2 linked regions of the Lepisosteus oculatus genome follow. The protein of the gene in region 1 purifies or fractionates together with the protein of each later gene. This does not show direct contact. Links are inferred from orthologs where the notes say so. Each region holds a gene or a part of one and is shown on either strand. Other genes may lie near its edges.

What was found.
Region 2: the proteins of hdac11 (region 1) and gcfc2 purify together in Homo sapiens (co-immunoprecipitation; 3 studies listed by BioGRID and IntAct, counting the BioPlex papers as one, with this or other methods). This does not show direct contact. The link is inferred for Lepisosteus oculatus from reciprocal best matches to the Homo sapiens genes HDAC11 and GCFC2.

The regions. Positions count from the first base shown.
Region 1 is NC_090699.1:62,733,932-62,742,348, forward strand, and holds the start of hdac11 (histone deacetylase 11), read left to right. Parts: upstream 1-4,608; 5' UTR 4,609-4,768; intron 4,769-4,906; exon of another isoform or gene 4,907-5,093; intron 5,094-7,641; exon of another isoform or gene 7,642-7,644; 5' UTR 7,645-7,669; coding exon 7,670-7,704; intron 7,705-7,965; coding exon 7,966-8,114; intron 8,115-8,417. Other genes in the region: nup210 (nuclear pore membrane glycoprotein 210), read right to left, coding at 1,997-2,163. UniProt on the Homo sapiens protein: Responsible for the deacetylation of lysine residues on the N-terminal part of the core histones (H2A, H2B, H3 and H4).
Region 2 is NC_090697.1:20,601,572-20,609,738, forward strand, and holds the start of gcfc2 (intron Large complex component GCFC2), read left to right. Parts: upstream 1-4,857; 5' UTR 4,858-5,161; coding exon 5,162-5,483; intron 5,484-5,926; coding exon 5,927-6,025; intron 6,026-7,611; coding exon 7,612-7,743; intron 7,744-8,167.

The sequences.
Region 1 (8,417 bases):
TATCTGATTAAATGGTAAAAGCAGAGCAAAGCATAAAGACATATGGTGAAATACAGCACAGACTACAAGAAAATTGCAATTGTAATCAGAAATTTATTGAAAATAGTAATTCGAGTTTGCCATATAACCACATGCACCAAATATGACAAAATGACCTAAACTCGTCGACCTATAAAATACGTTCATCTTGATGTTTGGGCATATACAGGATGAACTCAAAATGGAAAAGCAGGAAATATTATTAACTTACTCCAAAAAAGTGAAACACACAACAGAGGACGCAAGACGAAACTCTGTGGAAATGCATTTAAAACTCGGAACAGGATGCACTTCTTTATGCAAAGCATTGTGGGAGTACGGAACAAGCTACCCATCCACAACAGTGAAGACAATATTCTGGCTTCTTTCAAGGAAAAAAGCTGGAAGATATCCGTGCAGCAATTAGCTACTAACTAGCAAATGGTCTAGTTGGGCCAAATGGCCTGCGCTCATACAAATGTTCACATAAGGCATTTTGTTAAAACTACAACCTTAAGACATGACAACTATCAAGTTCAAAATTTGTGGGTCAATTTGAAAATCAATGTATAGGAACAATGTGCTTTTAGTAATGCAAATGACAGAAACTGCAAGAATCCCAATAAATCTTAAAGGAAACCTGAAAATGCTCTTTGTTGCTTAATGTACCCTCTGGGTTTTAATACAGTCTGCGTCAAAGAAATAACAAAACTCATCCCTTTCTTCCCCAAAGAGAAGGTTTCTCTAATGTGCTTTCTTGAAAAACTTATCGACTGTAAATTTGGTACATTAACTGCTTTATGTCCCACAAATTAAATTTGTGACTTAGAATGATTTCCATAATTGCCTCAGCCTTTTCTTTTACCAGATGTACGTCATTTGCAGACATAATCTGGAACTCTGTCTTCCCTGTGCAGCTAGCCAATTTCAATTTATAAATTGGGTCTTTGCAGAGTGTAAGAATATGGAAGTTAATCTGTGTGTTGCCAATAAGGAAAAATGATTTTAGGATCTACAGTAGGTTGCTGTAAATTATATGACTGTCATAAGGTAGCTAAAAATGCAGCAAAAAAAAAAAGACATCAGTAGCTCATAAATGCTGCAGGCATAATGTTTAAAACCAGTGCTGTTCTCCTTAAAAAATGTCTTGAAGACTTTATCAGACAAACACGCTGTTGTCAGCCTGGGTTCATTCAGGTTTGCTGCACCACATGTGCTGTGAAACATTATCAGCTTGGATTTAATTAACTTCTGTATCAATTGGAGCATATCCATACAGCACAGGCATACTCTCCAGGAAACAACAAAAGCGCCTCTCGCAGATGCTTATACATTTAAAACCTCACTCTGCCACACAAACTGTCTCAATTCAAATACAACTGAAGGACAACATTTTTTCACTCTAATTTTTACTAAAAGGTTAAGGACAACACTCAGCAGTCTGTGGAGGTGTGGTGCTCACCTTATATATATTGCAAGTCTATTAATAAACTACAGTAAACAGAATGACATTAAAACTTAATGGTTTCATAAGTGCAAGTCTATACAGCTAAATATGACAAAAGAGACAGCTGAGCAGTAGTAGGGGAGGGCAGTAATGGAAATATTATCATTAAATTAGAGTGTACACTGAATGACTGCTTTCGACCTTGGTTTATCTGTATTGTCTGTAGCTCAAAGAAAGGCGCCTATGGTACTTAAATAAAACCTTGTCACAAAAAAAGCCCATTAAAAAGTTGATTCAAGAATATTACCGCACCTGGAAATGAATATGACTTAATTTAATTTCAACCGGCATTTTTCAGGGTACTTTTTCTAGAAAATGTCTTAAACCTTTACATTACTTGCTGTTGACCATAAATAGCAGTGAACACCAGTCTCTGCCTGGGTTCATACAGTAACGTCCCACGTGTTTCCTGTCCCCAAAGAACAGCTTTAGACTTCATTTTCGATTTTCTTTTCAAAAATTCAAACTTACCATCTGTAACATCCTTCAGTTGCTTCCAAGGTAAAATTTATTTTGGTGCTTCTGGCTAAAGGCAACAAGACCTTTGGGATATTCAATTTAGAGGCACTCGAACAAAATATCGGATCATAAAATAAAACCATTAACACAATCAATGAAAGTACCGTTGCACTCGCCATTTCCTTTTTTTTTCTAAAGTGCTTTTTTGCTTTAAATAAAAGCACAACGTTAACGGACCACGCGGCGCGATATGATCTTTATACATAAAAAGAAGTTTAAAAGCTAAACTATAAAAAAAACCACAAATCAAAGTACCCAATTCCAAAATCTAGTTCGAGGCCATTGCCCTATACTTTATGTTAAATTCATGGTGCTGTCCTGTGCAAAATACTGCACATGTTCCACGATTACAGAAAAGGTGAGCTAAGCGCACAAAGTTCTTTCAAGCGCGTAATCCCTTTTTAAAGATACAAGTCCAGTTCAATAGGCTACAAACTTTCAATATAGAGAAACAGCATGGAGAGCTACTGCATGACTCAGTTGGTGTCCGTTTCAGGTGTTTCAATGTGCATGCACCCACACACAGGAAATGCAGCGAGATTTATCTTCCTATCTTCTAAAGAAATGTCCACCCGACGCTACTGCATACACAAAAAGGTATTTTAAATAACTGCATTATTAATTTTTAAACATATAACATAAGAAACACCCGCCATTCGCAGCTATTCGAGCAACGTCATGAACGACGGCAGACGGCGGTCGTTTTACACGCAAGAGGGAGGAGGAAAGGTCGTGTTACAAGAAACTGCGCCTTAAAGGCGCAGGAGGCTTTGGATCCTTGCGCACTAATGACATTATTTTCGCATTTCTGTTCTGTTCAGTGTACTGTTTCCATTCCAATACGGGACTGAAGTGAACCCGTCGAATTCGCGACATCCGCCTTTGAATTCAATTTGGAAGACGAGAGCCCCGTGAAGTTCACCAAGCAATTTGCCGCTATCTGGTTTCCACCGGAGCTACCCAATTAAATCCAGTTCTCCTTGTCCTTAGATGTTAGTTTGTGCTCTCCGTTTTTTGCCCACCCCACAATCTGTCACATTGTCTTTAAAGACCCTGCAGGTCTCCCATACTGTTACCCTGTACAGATAATTAGGCTTAAGACTGTATGTTGGAATGTGCGTAATTCTCCGCTAAAATCCATTACTGGACAAGCCCGGTTAAAATTAGATATAAATGTAGATATTGAACCTTCGGGGATTGTTTTCAGATTAACCCATGGAGTTGCGTCTTGTGTAAAATTATTCTAAGGTTGCAAGTTTCCTTCAGAAAGAAATAGCCTGCCCTTTGAAAAACGTCGAATACACGGCCTGTAGGAAGCATTTCGCTCTATTTATTCGTTTGTTTAGATATTTTCAATCTAGATCTAAAACGTGCACGTTTTACCTGGTACATACTACAGATACTGACTGTTAGATACTGATCTTGAAGAAACAGCCAGTGAAAAGGATTTTTTTATGCCTTGTCGTTGTCCTCTCTACACAATCAGTGGAACCCGCCATCCTGGGTTCTCATTTCTCCCCCCTCTGGTAAGCGTTATAGGGGCATAAAGGCACGAATCTCCAGATTACTGAACTCTACCCCTACAGTACCATTGGCTCACACTGTTTTTTTTTAAGTGGTATGGGCATTTCACTTGTTGGTGCTGCTGCTGTTCTGTGTTTGTGTTTTTTGGTGTTTCCTTTATGTCTTTCTATCATTGCACTTGTGCATCTGACAAAAACTGAACTGAACGAATTATTAAGGACCACTGCTAAATATAAGTCCAAAGATGTAACGATTAAATTATGGACATTAAATTAAGTAATTTAGAATATTGTGTACAATTGTGATCGGTACGTTACAAAACTGATATTGCTGGTGTGGAAAGAGCTCTGAAAAGCACAACTACATTAATTGGTGGTATTAAAGGCGTATTATAGTCAGGTTGAAAAACCATAATTTTCCAGTTCTTACTCTTGAGCAAAAGAGGTTGTATTGAAAACACCCCTGACAATATATATTTTTTCAATTAACATCTCCAACATCATTAGTGAAAAAATAATAATTTTAACTTCAAATTAAGAGTAAGGACTTTGCCCGTGGATAGGAATCTCTACATTGCACATAGGGTAGTGGGTGTCTGGAATAAATTATTGGTGAAGATGATACTTTTGGGATCATTCGGGAAAAGGCTGGATGAAGAGCTATTTAAATGTTTTTATATTCTGTGTGGGAACATTCAGGTATTAATAATATAAGTATTTACAAGAGGCATCATGAACAACCAAATATGTAATCGCTTGCTCTTTATCTCGCTTATAAATTATTGTATTGCATAAGAAACTTCACTTACTGTTTTATTCGGAATCATCATAAATGATCTCTTTGCACAAATTACGCGACTCGGTACTCAGGCGTTATATAATTCAAGAACTATATGATCGTGACAAAAAAAGACATTCTGCCTTTGAAGTAATGGAACACAAAAACACTACAGTGGCATGAGCTTTATTACTGCATTACCTGAAATATAACTCTTTACAAACCCCAGGTTGTGTTACTAATTTTTAGTAATTTAAAAATCATATAACACCCGCTGATGTAAACCAATGTCAATTGCACATGACACAGCAACGGAACACAGGACACCTCCTGGAAATATATCTGCGTAGAAAAAAAAAACAAAACGGCTGCAATGCTCTGTGCTGAGCAGGGATACGCGTTGTACAAATCAATCGGCTGCAGGTAAGAGTATGTGCGGTTTTTGCGTAAAAGCCAACAAATTCAACCGGGCAGCACTTAACACTTGGAAGTGTTCCTTGTTTCTTCCGCTCCCTGTGGAGGATCACAGGTGACGTAGGAGCGTTCTGCGTACTAGCTCATCACAACACTGATGAATTTGTGAAAGGGAGTTGGTTGGGCATCATTCCTCGGTTAAGTGATACACGCTAATTTAAACGATGTACATAGGCCACGCACGTTAATCCTGTTTCGGGGGGCTAACATAGCGTGTGGCAACACTAAGTCGACTTGCTATACTCAGCACCAATAATGAAAAAAATGTGGACAGGTGAGTTGAACTGTGTTTCGTATTCGCACACGAAGCAGGTGAGAAGGCCGAATATGCAATAAGGTATGGCATTTGCTTGTGGTGTAGAGCTTTTAACGGAAAATTGTAATAATTAATAAATATACAGAACACCACGATAACATTGAATAAATCGAATAATATATTTGCAGAAGCCCCTTTTCTTATTTAGATTGATACGCATGCGTGTGAATTGCAAAGCCCTCCGGGTATTGTAGTCCATTTGATTTTTTCCCCACTAGAGATTTGAGTGGATTCAGTGCCTCAGTAAACTGTTTAATAGATCGCCATGTTCTTATATTTAGTAAAGGGATGGCATATTTACAAAAGCAAATATGAGTAAGGGTGCTTGTTAAGAGTAGAAAGAATAGGGCAAATGCCTTTGCTTTTATAATGACACCTAAACTAGATTACCATCTTTTTCTATTTTTTGCACACAATCACAACCGCTCAGATTTATTTTCAGCCACAGAGTGAAAATACTAGGAATAATAAACTTCTTGACAAATTTAACCAGTATCAGCCAAAAATTCTTTAAAACCCCAACACCTGTGAAAACCTAAGACTGCAGATTGTTTACATTGTACATTTCATTTTACTACCTTGTGGTGTTGATTGCTTTTGAAATAAAGTTCTGCAGTTTACCATTAATGCTATTCTTGTCATTTAATTCCTCACTCTTTCACATAACCAAATGTTTTCTGCACAACTGCTATCGTATCAGAAAGCATTTTGAATGGAATAGTTGGTCACGTTCCTCTTGAACAGATTCATAGAATGAAGTATATGAGCATAGTCTTGATGTTGGCTTGTCTTCTTAAAAACTCTAGGCAGATTAAATTTTAATATCATGAATCTATTATGGAAATTGATTTTTTTCTCCTCAAGGTCAGAGAAATAGGGCAGATGTAGAGTATGGAGCGTGTCTGAGGAACAGATGACAGTGAGCTTTTTCTTATGAAGCACTGTAATACTTCTCACAACAATGAACAAACATTTTGTATTCAAAGAAGGGGTAGAGGAGACTTTGAGGCTTTCAGTATAATTCTGTAAATACAAAGATTTGAATTCTGTATGAATCTGTTAGCTGTGAAATACACTAACAGGTTTTTAATTATTTTATTAGCTGATGCAATGTCACTTTTTTTATTTTGCGATGTTAATTTTTGTGGTACTGAGTTTCTCGTCATAGTCTGACAGTTGTCAAAATTAAAAGCTCGCTCTTAGGTATTTATTTGTATGCGAAGTTAAGCTGAGTAATGTGGTGTGTCACACTTTTGAAAAGACAGCATGTGCACATCAAATGTATGTATGTCTCTATGGAACCAGCCGCTGTAGATATTGAATATTTTAAAAGAGAAGTATGTTGTAAATAGGACATTCAACGTCAAGGCTGATATTTGCAATTGCATGTTTTTAAGATCGGTCCTTCAAAAATGCACAAAAACATAACATTCCGGAATTTGCTGCATAAACATTATGAAGTAAACTGGGTTTATGAGGCCTAATCTCTTGAGTTGTCTTACTGCTTGCTGTTACTTGTGTAAAATTACACATAAAATGTTCAGTAATACGTTCCGATCAGTGATTGTCATTTTGAATGACAACTTTTGGCTTTTTAAAGTAATGTGATGGTATGTTTAAAATATATGAATATTTGCAAATCATTCATTTCTGTATTTTATTGGTATGGGTTAAAATCACCAAGTGTAAAAAACCTCTGTTAATGGAGTGGGATTCAGAGGGGTATTTTACAGTCTTGTAAAAATGGTTTGGATTTGACAGTGTGACTTCAGAACCCCTCAACTTTTGTGCCGTTTCCTAAATTAGCATAAGTTATAGATCTGATCATTTTCAAGGGTTTGAAGAGATGAATCAATACACAAGCTGTGAGTGGGGAAAAAGCCTGGGAGCTCCATCGTGAATTTAGACAAGAAACAGCCACGTAGTCGGCATTGCTCTGATTGATTGCCTGCACTGAAGTGTGTTGTTTATTCACTGCCATTTGGATTTTAGAATTGGAACCTCTTCCTTTATTAATGTGATGTTTTCATCTCCAATATGTTTATTGATTGGCAGGGATGGTTTTGGAGAAAGTTTTTATAGTGCATGCAGAATAGATTGCTTTTGAATTTTTTAATTGTTCCAGAAACTCTTAATATATATATATATTAACCTCTAGTGAATTTGAATTTTGGAGGTTTTATGTTAAGAATTAAAATCTAACCAGATGTAGTTTAAAGAAATGGAAACAAACTGGTTTTATTACAAGCTTGTGCACCGCAGGAATTTAGGTAGGAATCCTTGTTACGACTTGATTATCCTTGATCATTAAGTACAAGTATTGTTTAAAAGTATGCAAAACATGTTCTCGCATTTGATCACAAAGAGCAATGTACTACAGGAAAGAACATGGTATGATATGGTACCACTAGCTAAAATCATAGCCAAGGACATTTCATGTGTTATTAAGAGTATTGTGCATTCTACTATATTGAGTACATTTTTTGGTAAACACCCGTTTGTTTTTCAGGTTAAAATGAAAATGTGAATGAAAAATGTCTCAAAAAGGAAGCAGGCAAGAAAAAACAAGGTATACACTATATTACCTTAAAAATAGTATAAAGAATGTGGTCACACTTGAAATCTTTTTTATAACTATTTATAAAATGCTATTAAGGTGTTTATTAATAATGTTATAAACGTTTCCTGCAAATGATGACATGTCGAAATTCCTAGGGTAGGATTTCCAGGGATTGAATATGAGACCCCTGGCCAAGGTTTAGGACTGGAGATGTGGTTTGTTATCTTGATTTTACCATAAGGAATCCTTTGCATTTTGTATGCTTTTCAGCTCGCACAGCACCGAGCTTTACACCGAAGTCCCTTCAACGTGCCTGCCTATTGTGTACTCTCCAGACTACAACATTACCTTTATGGGATTTGAGAAGCTTCACCCTTTTGATGCTGGGAAATGGGGGAAGGTTATTCGTTTTTTGAAAGGTACACTGGATGATTAAACAGTGTTAATGTGCAATCAAAGGGACTCTTGTTTGTGAAGGAATTTAGTACATGGATAAAGCTCTCCTGTGATAAATGAAATCAATGTCATTTTTCTAAACAAAAAATGTAATTTTTGAGTTGGATAGAAATAGTTTTGGCACATTCATCGAAGTAGTGAAGCAGTGCACCGAGTCGGAGATAATTAAGAAAGTTAAAAATTCCCTGCTTCACACTCCAGGCATGCTGTGTTTGAACTGAAGGTCAGAATAGCCATAGAAGTCTGGCATGATGTCAGTTATACCT
Region 2 (8,167 bases), on another chromosome or scaffold:
GGTGTTCTTTTTTACTGTATTCTGATTGATGCGACTGAGGTTTTCAAAATCATGTGAGGCACAGACAAAGACAACAAAACAGACTTCTTGAGAACCAACAGCAAAACAAGAACCAAAGGACAAGTGGAAACTAGATAGATAAGAATTCAAAACAAAGAACAAGAAGCATTTCTTACACAGCGGGTTGTGGTAGTCTGGAACAAGATACCTAGCCATGCTACTGAAGAGAGTAACTTAGCTTCTTTAAAGAAATGGATAGTAAAAATGCTTTGACCAATCAGCTACTAGGAAACAAACATGAGCAGGTTCTGTTGTCAGTTTCTGTAGTTTATTCTCAGCGCAGTAATGCCTCCTTGTTCACAAACAGAATGATTCATTTGCTTATCTCACCCTTTGGATTAAAATGAGGGAAGATTCGTCATCCACAGAACTGAAAGTCATGTGTGACAACATCAGGCTTGCAACAATATTCACATATACACGTAGCACCAGTGAAAGTCACCAGCCAGCATAAACTAAAATTCTCTGAGGTGCAGACAAAGTCAAACCAATATACCAGAGCCATCAGTGAAACATTGACTACATGATACAAGTGCAAACTAAGGAGACAGGCACTTACAAATGAAAATGTTAGGCACATATTACACAAAGGGTTGTGGGAATCTGGAAACCAGAGACCATGTTGTTGAACCCAATAGCTCAAAAAATGGCTAGATAAAATACCCGAGTTAGCTACTAGCAAACAAACTAGCTAGATGGGCCAAATGGCATCCTTAGATTTGTAATGTTGCTTATGCTCATATCATATAAATCCACCCCTTTACGCACTGCAATTCATCAGTCAAAATACACATCCTCCTTCACTCTCTGGCTGCCACAACTCCTACACAAAACAGACAAACTCTAACTGTTCTGTATTCATAAGGAAGATGGTTTAAAGAGACACCAAAAGGGATTACAGTGCAGAAAAAGGAAAAATATCATCCTAGATCTACAGCAAATTCCTTCTCATCTTGTGGCTTGAGGTTATGAAAGTATTAACAAAGTGGACTGTTATCCTGTAACAAAATAATTATTGAATTAAACTCCCCAATATGTTCAAATACTCGAAGATACAAAGAAATAAGAGATTGGTTATATTCACATACACATCCTGGTCTGACCACGTGTAACATCGGATATGACCGCTTTAACTGACAACTGACGAACAGGATGCAGGAACCTAACAAGACTCATAATTTAAGGCACTGTTTTATTCTGGCTTTCTAAAAAGGGGAACACAAGGAACTTAAAACATTGTGTGTTGCATGATAAATTACTGTAATAAGTTCAGAAGTTAAAAAAATTCAGCCATGACTGAATTTTTTTAGTCCCCAGCTGCCCAGCTGCCCAAGACAACACACCTGTCTTGTGAAGTGTTAAAATATTCGAACCAGTTTCAGCCTCTTTTGCATTAAACAACACAAAGCCAATAGCAGTTTCTAATAGCACTAGTAATAGTTTAGAAATAGTAATAGAGTCTTTTCCACCCACCCCTTATTGAAGAGGACTGTATGGTGCATCTAAATGTCATCCGTGCAGGGACACAACAAACTAGATTCATGAATATTCTATTTTTATCTCTGACCCGAGATTCTCTTAGTCAAATAAGGAAAAGGGGGAGGATGGGATCCATTAATGAAAAACCGAATGAGTCTTCATTTTGATTTTTTTTTTCTCGCACAGCTTGCCAGGAAGAATCAAAAGTTTCCTGTTAGAAAGCAAGTGATTTCAAAGTAACAAAACGTCCAGATAATCAAACTGCTTTTCACTGTTCACTGTAAAACGTTTTAAAAAAATGCAAGAACCTGGTCGATTTTGCCACTATATACAGTACATTCCTGCATTAATTGAACAAATGCCCTTCAAGTGACTCACTAGACTCAAATTACTTTATCATTGTTTAATTTCCTAGTATTCATCGTGTTACAATTGTGAGGGTTCTTGTACTGACGCTCTAAACACGAAAAAAATGCTTAAGAAAAGTGGTTCGAAACATGTAGACCACTTTTTCTTAACATTTTAAAATACATGAAAGACAATTCAATCTCCAAAAAGAAAAGAAAAACAACCCATACATCAGAAGTGCAATAAAACAGTGTGTAAATGTTTCTAAAAATTGAAAATCATTATTCAAATTATTTCTTAAAGTCATGAAATTCATTAAATTCCTTATATAAAGCAGAGAAACCAGTGCAATGAAGTTTCATTCCTTTGCCTACTGCTGCAAGACACTTGCTTTAAATTCGCAACAACCTGCCAAGCGAGTCGTGAAAAGGAAATTTTCAAATATGTATTTCTTTACTGCTGCAACCACAATAAATGATTCAGAACATAAACCCCAATATATCAAGTAATCCTGTTTCTTATAACACTAGATTAAAAAAATCCTATGTATTCGTGCTTGTTTACATCCTCGCTTTCAATGTAACCGACAAGTTTCAATTTTAAAGCTTTAATTACATTACTTACTGATAAAATTCCAGCACCAAACTATGTTTATGTATATATACATAGAATATGTTCCTTGGTAAAATAATTTATATACATATTGTATATGTATAATGAAGTATTCATAATTCTTAAATTTACTTACTTTTCGTGGAAGGACACCAAAAATATTTTGGATTTGGTTTAATCCCGACTCTGGAAAATCTCCATTATCAACAAATGTTCTCGGTCAAAATAAGTAATTAGACGTGAGACTCAATGTTTATTTCCAGAAAACGTGCTTCAGTCTTGTACCTGTTGCTTGCTAGAAGCAGCACTGTAGTATTACACCAACAACATGGCTGACAACACGGAGCCTGATTACTATTCAACCCCAGGATGGGAGGGGAAATCTCATTTTTGCAACCTTGCACATACTGCCCTCTCACTGTTCAGGTACGCATCACACCCAGCCTGTCTTAATAGCAAAAAAGCTATGCATTGTCAGCATACCTGCAGGACTACGCCTTAAAAGCTATCCGTGCAAAAAATAAAATTGGTTGAAACAACAGATACTCCTTTTTAGTTTTAAAATTATATTTATTCACATCTCAGATTTTTGATGATAAAATAAATTCATTCAAATGTGGCTGCATGATATACTGTAATGTACTGAAATTACTAAATCTGACTTTGCAAGGCATTGGAACTCAAGTTGGTGGAGATTATACACACACTAAAATGTACTGCTTTATGATAATATCTAGTAGAATAAGACAAAAAAGAGTGAATACAGTGCCTGGCAGTACAAAGGACGACAAAATTGAACCAAGTTAAAGAAGGTAAAAAGTATTTGCCTAAGCGCTTTGTTCTTGAATAAGCAACAACAGTAAAGCAGGCTGTATGATTTACTTTATGATGTACAAAAGGCTTTTGATAAAAGTTTCCCATAAAAATAAATTCTCAAATTAAAAGTTAGTTGCATTTGGGGAAACTTCAGTTTTGGGATTAAGAACTGGTTAATGGACTGAGAGTAGAGAGTATAGAAAGGGGAAGATTGTTCAAACTGTGGTGATGTAATTAATGGAGTGCCAATGTAATAGACTTTAGATCATTTACAAATGTACAAATTAGTGTGTACATCATACAATTTCAACCTAATATTTTTTTATCCACTATATATACAGTACTAGCATGGGGTGGGCTCTCCTGGTCCTGGAGACCTGGTGCGTCCGCAGGTTTTTTAAGGTCTCTTTAAAGCAGCAGCACCTGAAGAGCAGGGTTATGGTAATAAATCAATCTACTTGAACAACTAAACAGCTGGTTTACCATGTTAAAGGCTGGAATGAAAACAGAAAGAGACACCATTGTTCTTGGAACAGAATAGCTGTGCTACAATGAGCTGCCATTGCTCTGCTGTGAAGTGGGGTGACAGGTCAGAGCCTATGACTCCTGATATACAGAAGGCATACTGTGAACCCTTGAGCATTAACTGTACTATTTGTTGAGTCTTAAGGCATCCTTCTACAGCCCATTTTATTCGGGATATTGGATTAAAATGTCTATTGAAATCACCATAGGAAGAGAAGACAGCAAGGTCCAGCTTCTCTGAACTTTAATTATTCAGTGCTTTAAGCCTGTTTCTGATGCATATGTAAAATTCACTTTCCTTGAGCCAGGACAGGGACAAGGCATGTACAGGAAAAGTGGATGTCATGGGGATCTTGGTGATAACATTATGCCTGTTGAATAGGGACCAATGTCCCCACTTCATGAGGTTAGAAGTACAGCACCTAAGTGCCAAACCTAAAACCTTTGTCCTGGTTGCCCAAGAAAGACCAAGATGTCTGGGTCTGTTTTATTCCAAAGAAATTCAAGGACTCCAAGTCCTCATCATAATAGAATGAATATCACCCTTCTGCTACTCAGTTAGCACACTTGTCTGTCTCTGCCTTAGAGTCATTGAACGCTTGAAATCTACAATCAAGACGTTACAGAGGAGAACCTGCTACATGGACAACTCAGAGGTTTTCTTTTTGGCACTGACTCATAGGTTGACAGCTCTGTATCTCTTAACTTCTCTTAAATAAGTAGGAGGGAGAGAGAAAGTAAGTTGCCTCTCACAGCCTGAGGGAATATTTAAGGACTGTGATTTCTGGGCCCAACTGTGGCTATGCAATTCTATTTGGCTTTAACAAGCAAGAACTGGCTGCACCGTTGTCCTTTAATTATAGTTTGCTTTAGTTTTCAAAAAGGCTCTTCTATGAAAAGTTCTAATTCTTTAACATTTTTATTGAAGGTTTTCAAAATGCCAAGTTTACTTTAATTTCCACAGAGTTCTTGAAGGAAGAAATAGAGCGACGCATTGTTTATGGACTACATTACCCATGATGCAGCCGGAGAGCAGGGAACCGGAAAGTACAAACGTAAATGTTGTTGAAGCAAATCGGAAGAAGTGTTGTAAGTGTACTTTTTTCCCCCCATAAATGAAGATGGAGTAATTGGTTTATGCTAACTTGCTTAGCATTTAAAAATGTAAATGTGTTTCATTGTGCTTTAGTCTTTCATTTACTTCACTACCGAGATACACGTGGGATGCTGTAAGGCTTAGTACTTTTTTTAAAAAAAAAATACATAAGATAATCATTTGCGATCCGCACTGTTGAGATATTATTGCAGTTCCCACCTGAATATGTTCGGTAAGAAACCAAAGAGAAACTTCAGGAGGAGGAAAGGAGATTCGAGCGGAGAAGATGAGCCTTCACAAGAAGAGCAGGGAGAAGCCACTGACGAGGTGAAGGTCTCGGTTGCTCCCCGGTTACTGAAGTATCCGCAGAGCCGGGGGATTTCCTGCACGTCTAAGCGGGAGTCCGGGAGCTCCAGGCCGGATTCAGTCGCCGGACAAAATCCGCACACAGAAAATGTAAGCGAAGATACGGCTGCGGAAGACGCTGCTGAGAAGAAACTGACGAAAAATAAAATCACTCTATTGAGTTTCGGTGATGAAAAACAAGGTACGCCCCAGTATTTATATTTCTGCGTGAATCTGATGTGGTACATGCACGGAGACAGCCTGCAGTAGATTCTGCAGATGCAAATGACATGCATGGGATCTCTTCACAGAATTGATATTTTAGCGAGCTGTCGCTGTGTCGCGAGCATAACCCAGGTGAAGCAGAAACGAAGAATATCTGTTTAAGCCAAGACACAGTAGGGAGGGTCATCGCTGATCATGCCTAGAGCTCAGACCTGTGCTGGAGTCATTATTGAACCATGCAGCCAAAAAAGGGACTCAAATATAACGTATGTTCCATTCTGATCTATAATTGCATTATAGAAAATGTCATCAAAAGCCTGCTATTGACATTGTTTTGTTGTTTTTCGTTTCTGTTCTTTGCATTCAATTAATGTGCACGTTTTTTTTTTTTCCTAACCTGCTGGTGTATTTTCATTTCAGTGGACGAAGATGACTTCAAGGTTAAAAAGCCTGTTGCCAAGGCCGTCGTTTTCAAAGCGCGAACAAAAGAGATCAATCCTCCCGCTTTTAATTCACAAGGTAAATTGCCAACTGCGTTCTTATGGTTTCATAACAACGGATGTGTATGTTAGCTGTTCGACGTAACAGGGCTCGGTGGCACTGTGTATTTTCCTGAAATGATGTCATCGTTTCTTGAAACGTTCATCATTGTAGAAATCTGGGGTGATAGAAAACCTGGTCTTTGGATTCGAGCAAAGTTTGCTACTTTTTATGGGGTGGTACAGTTCAACTGTGGTAAAAAAGAAATAATTTGTTACATTTTATATAGCGCTTTTCCAGACACTTTACAGGTAATGATAACTCATCTCCACCACCGGCAATGTGCAGATTCACACTTCACATACCTTAACTGAGTTTGTGTGAAAGTGGTCTGAGGTTTGTTTTCTTGGTTAACATCCTTATTTTTAGGGGGAATTGGTTCGCTTGTGACTACACTGCAATAATAATGTGTAGTAATTTGTTCATTGTGTTAGATGCAAAATTATTTTTTTTTCCGTAGTCTTGAATGGAGAAGTCTAGAAGCCAACATGATTTGAGTAGTCTGGCCTTGGTTAATCCTGGAAATGGGAGACCTCCAAGAAAAACCTGTTTGCTGTTCAAAGAGGTGTTGCTGGACCAGAGTTAGTGCATTCTAACTGGAAATGAGTTTCATTGCGTTTTGTTTGGCATTCTGTTACAAACTACTCAGCCATGTTGTTGAAGCGGGTTTCTTCAACATGGCTTCTTTCAAGAAATGGCTGGATGAGATCCTCAGGTCACTTAGCTACTAGTCACCCAGTGGGCTATGTAGGCCAAACTGCCTCTTTTTCTGTTAATAACCTTTTTATGTTCAGTGGCCTTATTTTATGTCTTTGATTTTGAAATTCATCTGGCTCATCTTTTTTAAATAGACTCTGCACTGTTTGCAGCTTTTGCAACCCTTTGTCTTTCAACCCCTGAGAAACAAATAGTAAATATACCATAAATATAGTAGATATTTGTATGTGTAAAATAGTTTTGGCGTGGTCTTAATGAATTTTTCTGTTATTCTGTTGCAGTTTGATTTATTTCCCAATTGACATTTGGTTTTCATGCTGTTCTCCATATAAACTGCACTTTACCGAGTGCAAAAACAATCACTACTCAAAACAGGCCATAAGATGAGCTCAGCTGAATGCCATTTAAACAAACTCTGAATTGGACTGAATACTCTTGGAGCATTCAAAACTAAACAAACCTCACTCAGTTAGGGGGAAAAAAACATCTCAAGAGAAGCAAAGCTCTTCACTGAAAATTAAGTTTCACATTTTATTATTAACATTAGCGAAAGGCAAGATGGGGAAATAGGTGAAATTATGTTACAGTCATACTACTGAGCATGTTATACTGAGGCAAAATGAAATCACTATTGATTAATTGCTCTGTAGTTGATTGGTAAAGAACTGGCATCAAGAATGAGCAAAACAGAGAATTATATGGTCCCCTGCGCAAGTAATGTTTTTATTTCTAAGTAACTGACTTAACATTAGTTCTGTAAATGTTTTTTTTGGAATGGAATGGGGGTTAAGATTGCTTCTTCAAAATTAAAAGATGTGAGTTTGACAGTTCCTGCTTGTGTTTTATAGGCCCCAAGGGTCCTGTTTCACAGAGTGACTGTGGGGACGATAAACCCGAAGGTGAAAAAATTCAGGATGGAAGCAACGATGATACAAGCTCCCAAAAATCTAGTTCTTCCAGCTCTTCAGTGTCTGATCCAGGTTTGTTGGAGGTTTCTCAGAAATTTTGAGCATTTTTTCCTCATTCTTATAATCTTTTAGAAAGTAAGTGATGAATTGGTCTTCAGTATTGCTCTATCGTTGTCATCTAAAATTTCCATTCCGGAAAAGTGTTTTCGACAAGTGTCCAGGATAATATTCCATGGAGGTTTAGAGGCGTGTATTTCAATGCTTCGTCTTTCTGAAGCTAGTTTGTAAAAAAAAAAAGTTTACAGACCAGACTGAACTTAACTCGCCTACCTGCACTGTGGCTAGACAAATACTGAGGCATAAAACCAAAAACCAAAAAAGTGTTGGTTTCTTGAACTCCTTTCTCAGACATCCATATGTGAGATTGCAGTGGGGGCTTTTGACACCTTGTATGTATATAGCAAGTAAGATGAATCTCCTAAATCAACGGCTTATG